2 linked regions of the Mus musculus genome follow. The protein of the gene in region 1 interacts with the protein of each later gene in a biochemical or structural test. Links are inferred from orthologs where the notes say so. Each region holds a gene or a part of one and is shown in the gene's direction. Other genes may lie near its edges.

What was found.
Region 2: the proteins of Cops7a (region 1) and Cops4 form a complex in vitro, tested with the Homo sapiens proteins (2 studies listed by BioGRID). The link is inferred for Mus musculus from reciprocal best matches to the Homo sapiens genes COPS7A and COPS4.

The regions. Positions count from the first base shown.
Region 1 is NC_000072.6:124,958,868-124,962,782, reverse strand, and holds part of Cops7a (COP9 signalosome complex subunit 7a), read left to right. Parts: intron 1-85; coding exon 86-161; intron 162-336; coding exon 337-425; intron 426-1,422; coding exon 1,423-1,625; intron 1,626-2,586; coding exon 2,587-2,692; intron 2,693-2,832; coding exon 2,833-2,984; intron 2,985-3,145; coding exon 3,146-3,185; 3' UTR 3,186-3,915.
Region 2 is NC_000071.6:100,545,150-100,548,461, forward strand, and holds the end of Cops4 (COP9 signalosome complex subunit 4), read left to right. Parts: intron 1-2,154; coding exon 2,155-2,288; 3' UTR 2,289-2,653; downstream 2,654-3,312. UniProt on the Homo sapiens protein: Component of the COP9 signalosome complex (CSN), a complex involved in various cellular and developmental processes.

The DNA.
Region 1 (3,915 bases):
AGCTGAGGGACCAGGATAGGTACTGTTGGGATGGATGGGGTAAGATCAGGGCCTTCTTGTCACTTCCTCCCTCACGTTCTTGCAGCTGGCAGAAAGCGACTTTGCCTCCACCTTCCGGCTGCTCACAGTGTTTGCCTATGGGACCTATGCGGACTACTTAGGTAAATAGGGGCCAGAGCTGTGGAGACAGGAGAAGGGTGGTTCTGGAGAGACTTGGAAGAAATACCTACTACGATGCCATAAGTGAACCTCTGCAGTGTTAGACCATAATTGGTACAGAAAACTTGTAGGAAACTGCTAAAAACAAGATTCCCGGGCTTCTCTCCCTGTCTCTAGCTGAAGCCAGGAATCTCCCCCCACTGACTGACGCACAGAAGAATAAGCTTCGACATCTGTCAGTTGTCACTCTGGCTGCCAAAGTCAAGGTAAGTGACAGCCTTGCCAGCTGCCAGTCCAAAGCCAGAGACGACCTGTTGTGAATCCAGGGAGTCTAAGGAGAGCCATTGGCCTCCCCTGTCTGGGTCTGAACTGAAACTCCATTTCTGCAGTCACTTAGTTAGGAGTCTGTCAGTTTGAACTGAAGTTCTAAGTCATCGTCTTTTGTGATTGGGGTAAAAATAGCCACTAGAAGGCTGGCCGGCTCATTCATCAGATGGAGTTCCAGGCCAACAGAGCCTCAGAGCTAGAACTGGGGTCCTTCTCTACTTACTATAGTAAGATGTGTGTGACCTACAGTACCTGTGTGCCCCTGTGGGCACAGACTTTTTATATCACATTCTCCCAGTTGTTAACTAGAATTGAGTCCTGGTGATTTTTGCTGGAATTAGGCTTGTGGTTGTAGATTCTTCCCCAAGGTCATTCCAGTTTGTAACATGGCTAAGTCAACATGATAAACAGAAACTCCAGACCCCTCCTATCTATCCTCTGATGTCAAGCTGATCAAAAACAGTTTCCTTAGCTACAGCCAAAGAAATGGCACCAGGAAGATGTCACACTCGTTCTTTCACTATATAGTGGGAGGTGGGCATAGGAGAGCATCTACCACATGTTTTTGGATTGTCCTTTTTGAGTCTGGTGCCGTGTCTCATGTCGGCCCAGCGCTTGGGACTCTGAAGCAAAAGGATTAATGTGAGGTCAAGTCTAGCCTGGACTACATAATGAGTTCCAAGCCAGCCTGGGCTATAGAATGAGACCCTGTGTCAGAACGCCATGAAAGAAAAGGAAGGAAGATTATTCTTTTCTGGTGATGTTTTTGAGGCCGTAATAGGGTTTTGCTTTAGAACCAACATTTTCCAGAAAATGGCTTACGGATAGGAGTGGAGGGATGTGGGCCTGGACATTGGGGAAAAACTGGAAGAGGATTCTGGGAAATCCTCCTCTGCTTTTGAACCCCACAAATTCCGGTCTAACCTCTGGACCCAGTGTATCCCATATGCAGTGTTGCTGGAGGCCCTTGCCCTTCGAAACGTGCGCCAGCTGGAAGACCTTGTGATCGAGGCTGTGTATGCTGATGTCCTTCGTGGCTCTCTGGACCAGCGCAATCAGCGGCTAGAGGTTGATTACAGCATCGGGCGGGACATCCAGCGCCAGGACCTCAGTGCCATCGCCCAGACCCTGCAAGAGTGGTGAGAACTTACTTGTCAGGCCTTGACCCTCCCTTATACAAGCAGGAGAGCAGGGACTGGCTGGGGAGGGGGAGCCTAGGAGAGTGCTTTCTCCTCAGGGTTTCTGAGGGGACAGAGGCTCTAAGGGGGCCCTGGGCGCAGAGTCAGGGTTGTTGGGCAGGAACTGGGCAAAGGAATGGAGCTGTGCTCTTGACTAGCTGGAGGCTTGTCACTGTCATACGCTGAGTTTAGGGCAACTGCACATAATAACACCAGGGGCCGCGATGGGTCTCTTCTCTTCTTTGTATCCCTGTGTAACTTCATTGTGATCTCACTGTGTACCCCAAGCTGGCCTTGAATTGGAAATCTTGCCTCTGCTTCCTGGTTCTAAGCTTACAGGTGTGTGCTGCTGTACCCACCATGCCTGACTCTCCCGTTTTGTTTTCTGGTTCCTGCTCTCATCTTGTTATTTTGATTTCTTTTTAGTTATGTGTGTGTGATAGAGAGGTAGAGGGGTTATAGGTGAGTGTGAGTGCAGCTTCCACCCCTGAGCCATTTCTCCGAGCACTCCACCCCCACCCACCTTGTCCAGGACACTTGCTTATCCCTTTCTTCTCCTGCCCTGGGGTTTGCTGAGGAGAAAGAATCCTGTTGTAGCCGGGCGTGGTGGTTCACGCCTTTAGTCCCAGCACTTGGGAGCCAGAGGCAGGCGGATTTCTGAGTTCGAGGCCAGCCTGGTCTACAGAGTGAGTTCCAGGCCAGCCAGGACTACACAGAGAAACCCTGTCTCAAAAACAAAACAAAAAAGAATTCTGTTGTAGCTAGTTCCCAGGTGCCCTGGCGAGAGCTGCCAGCTCAGGCGAGGGTTTTCAGTCCAGCCTAGAGGCCAGCTTTTGAGACTTTTGCTTTTGTTTGCTTTGTTTTTATGAGGCTGTGATGACTGCCGCCTCCTGCTGACTTCTCATCTGCCTGCTTCCCACAGGTGCGTGGGCTGTGAGGTTGTGTTGTCGGGCATCGAAGAGCAGGTCAGCCGTGCCAACCAGCACAAGGAGCAGCAGCTGGGCCTGAAGCAGCAGATCGAAAGTGAGGTGAGCAGACAGGATGGACTGCAGCTCCCCAGCCTGGGTACTCGGGCTGCGATGGGGCTGAGGCCGACTGATAAAATCATCAGGGCCCGTCCGGTTCCAGAACCTCCTTTGGCTATCCCTCATTCCTTTCATCCTGATAGGTTGCCAACCTTAAGAAAACCATTAAAGTTACGACAGCAGCTGCTGCTGCAGCCACCTCCCAGGATCCTGAGCAACACCTGACAGAGCTGAGAGAACCAGCTTCTGGCACCAACCAGCGCCAGCCCAGCAAGAAAGCCTCCAAGGGCAAGGGGTGAGCCCATGCGGGAGCCACTTGTCTCTGGGTACCCCACTTTTACCTCAGGGACCTGGCTGCTCCACTGCTTTAGTCATTTGCATGGGGTCGGGAGTGGGGGTGTCCTCTAGGAATTAGGGGACCCCTTGCATCCCCTCTCTCTCTCTTCCCCTTGCCAGACTCCGAGGGAGCGCCAAGATTTGGTCCAAGTCGAACTGAAAGGACTTGTTTCTTCCCTGGGAATGTGGGGTCCCAGCTGCCTACCTGCCTACCCCTTAGGAGTCCTCAGAGCCTTCCTGTGCCCCTGGCCAGCTGATAATGCTAGTTCATTACTTTTCATCTCCTCCACCCCCAAGCATAAGCCACACCCTCTGTAGGGAGGAGGCCAGTGCAGGTCATGTTCTGTTGGTACCTCTTATGTGTTCCATGCTCTTCCCCAGCACGCTTGCTCTCATCGTTTTTCCGCACTGTGTCTGCCCATTACCCCTGTCATTGAGCAGGTTGGCAGTCCTATGGAGGGTGCTGGCTCTTAACCACCCACACCTACCCCTGCATGCCTAATCTGCAGTTCCTCCTCCTCCCCTTGCCTAGTGGGCTGCATCTGAAAAGCCATGGGGAAGGGGGTCTCCACCTTCATTCCAGCCTTAGAGTTCTGGAGCCAGTCTGCTACCCTGGGAGTCGCTGGACATTTTCCTCCCAGAACCCCATCACACTACAATTGTTTCTTTCCTCTCTCATCTCCTTGGGCCTGGGGATACTGCTGCTTCAGTGACCCCAGAGCCTGAGAACAGCTATTTTTGAGATGTTAAGAAATGGTTCTTTGTTGCTCATCATCTTAGGAAGCCCAATGGAAATCCTGGAAGGATTTATATCTCCTCCTGTGGTTCTGGTGGGGAAGGAAATATAGATTGTATATTAAAAATAAAAAATATATATGAATAGGTCTATA
Region 2 (3,312 bases), on another chromosome or scaffold:
TTATTATTTATTATCTTCTATCTGCCCTTTCCCGTGCTCCAAGGGTCCCTTCCTGAGCCCCGCTCTTCACACACTCGCCAAAAGGAGCTGTGTTAGAAGCCCGAAGGAAACACTGTTTTAGCTTTTTAAAATTCTGCTGACTTCTTTCCATTGGTCCTAAACACGCACAGGTCTTCCAAGTAGGCCAGATGCCTTTTATCTTTCAGGCCTTTTCTTTTCTTCTGAAGTGGAGTCTCTGCCACCCAGCCGCCCAGACTGGCCCCTGATGTGGAGCTTCCCCCATCTTTGCTTCCTGAGTGCAGAGCTCACAGGGGTGAACTGGCAAGCCTGCTTTAGACTTTATCTTGGTTTTAATAAAGCCAATATTGCTGGTCCCTTTTCCTTGTGCACGCGGTACCACACCATGGCCATCCTGATGCTGTCGACTCTGCCGCCCTGTCCTGCCCCTGCCGCCTTTCCTGCACTCGCAGCTGTTCTTCACGTCATCTTTATGGACTCTGTGATGCCCTTAGATTTAACATCAGCTACTTACGGCTTAATCCCAGGCCTTTCCCACTACAGGCATTGAGTCTCCACGGGTGATTTCTACCCCTTGATTCAGTTAGTATGTTTGGAAGTGGCTGGATTTGCTTGTACCAGTCTCTTCTCTTTCTCAAACCTGTAGCTCTAGTTCACACCTAAGGCGTCTATATTAGATTGCTTAATAGGGATTTAGGACAAACACAGGTCCAAAACTTTCTAGTTAGCCATTTAAAAGTTACATGTTAACTTTTTCCTTAATTTCTTATGTTTAACTCCTGTATCTTTCATGTCCTATAAATTACAACTCCTAATGTTCTTAGGAATCCATGTACTTTTCTTATTTTTAAAAATTCAAATGTATGTGTGCGTGTGGGTGAGCACATACCTTGGAGCATGTGTGGAGGTCAGAGAACACTTTGCAGTCATCATTCCTCTTTCTACTCTGAGGATTGGGGTCATTCTCACATGGCCAGGCTTCACCCTCAGAGCCACCTGCGGCCTGGCCCCTTCTCTTCGTTTGTATTCCCTGTGACTTACAGAATGCTGCTGTCACAGCCTGTGATGTTTTCCACTTGTCTACACTTGCTTCCTAACCTACTTTCTCCAGTATAGCCAGAGTCACTGTGGTCTTAAAGAAATGAAAACAGGGCAGAGGGAAGAGAAAGAAGTTCAATTAAAGGGAGGAGGGGACTGGATGGCTCCAAATTCTTGCAGTGGAGTCAGGTTCAGTTCTCAGTACCATCTGCAGCTCCAGGTCTAGGTTACCTCCTTTTCTGGCCTCTGTAGGCACCAGGCAAGATCATGGTGTACACACACACACACACACACACACACACACACACACACACTGAGGCGAAACACTCCTATACATAAAATAAAATGTGGGGTTTCCTTTTTTTTTTTTTTTTTTTTGAGTCTTCTTAAATGAAGAGGTGGTGCACACCTTTAATACCTTAATCTCAGCTCTTGGGAGGCAGAGGCAGCAGCAGCAGATCTCTGTGAGTTTGAGGCCAGCCTGGTCTACACAGTGCGTTACAGGACAGGCTATACAGAAAACCTTGCCCTTAAAAAAAAAAGTACTCAAGATAGTGTTTCAAGTAGATTTTACATTGTCTTTTTCTGCTGTAAATGTTAAATTATTTTTTGGTGAGGTAGACATATTCTCATGTGTAGATCCAGCGTTCTCCTAGTAGATGGCAGTATCGCCCCAGCAAACACTGAGAGCCTGACCCTGGAGTGAGGCTGCTTTGTGGTCATCTTGTCTTGATAGGTCTTCAGTCGTTGATTTTGTTTTCAAGGGCATTAGTAATAACATTTTCATTATGTTCCATTTTATGTTTGGTGTTAGTGATTTGCGTTCTTTCTTTGAGACAGTGTCATTGTGTGGCCCTCTTGGATGACTTGGAACTCACTGTGTAGACCAGGCTAGCCACAAACTCACAGAGATCCTGCCTACTTCTGTCTTTTGAGTGCAGAGATGGAAACTCTGCCATACCATGCTTGGCCTGAGCTGAGTTCTTGCCAAGAGTCCCAGAATAAACATCTTTTAAAAGTTAACACTGTTGTAATTTATCTTTTAGCCTCGATTTGTGAGTAATTTCTATCTTCCCTATTATTTTATTCTTTCCTTAGCACGAGAAGCCCTGCCAACATGGGACAAGCAGATCCAGTCACTTTGTTTCCAAGTAAACAACCTCCTGGAGAAAATTAGTCAGACGGCCCCGGAGTGGACAGCACAAGCCATGGAAGCGCAGATGGCCCAGTGAGCCCTCAGCGCTGTGCGCACTGCATCTTTGCCACTTCGTGCAGATTGATTCACTGCCCCTCAAAGCATTTGCATCATGACCTTAGACATCTCAGCCTCCTTTGCTGGATCCCACTTGAAGAAGATGCTAGAGCAAGAAGTGCATCGTTTAAACATAATAGCTCCCGTGAGATCTGGGTCTGTGTATTGAACTAACTCAGACGCTTTGAAAACTTGTTCTTTAAGTGGAAGTGAAAGACCTGAAGTTTGGGATTTGTGATCACTTTGTAGTCATGTAAAACTTAAGTGCTTTGTGCCTCTCCACATGTGGTTACTCTAATAAACGGAGCGGTGAGCCAAATAAAGGCAGTACTTGGTTTTTAATTAGTGAGGTGTTCTATTCCTTTTCTTTGAATTTAGAAAAGTTAATTTCTGTATCTTATGCTACAAATACAAGACTAAGTTGGAGCTTTCTGAGCCCCAGAGCTAAGGGCATAAGGTGACGCTGGGGCTTGCACAGCCAGAGAGGCTCATCACTTAGCAGGAGACCAACAAGGACGCTTTCACAGGTGCCAATTCCAATGTGACCAGTAGAGAGTGTGCAGAAAAGACTTTAAAAAGGGTATAGATGACTTCTTAGCCCCAGCAATTACAGAGCTTTAAAGAGACCCACCCACTTAAAACATGAGGTTGAAAGTCAGTGTCTTGCTTAGATCCTTCAGAAAGATGAAGTCACAAGATGAACGGCCCCCACATCTGGACAGTGGGCAGAATGCAGGGTTGTAGTTCATCAGCTAGGAGGTGGTGATGCTGCTGGAATCAGCACTTGCTTAGCAACTACAACAGAACTGACCTTCCTGCTGACCAAGAAAGCTGGGCATATCCTATTCTGTCAAATGTTTCTCTGGTTCATTACTTTGCCACTCAGTTTACACGTGGGTGCTTTCTTCTACAAACTAACTTTACCTTTGGAATTTAATGTTTGTACTAAGGGTTTGTCTGTGTTCCAGCCAGAGGGATTACAGGTGCTAAGGGCTGAGCCACAC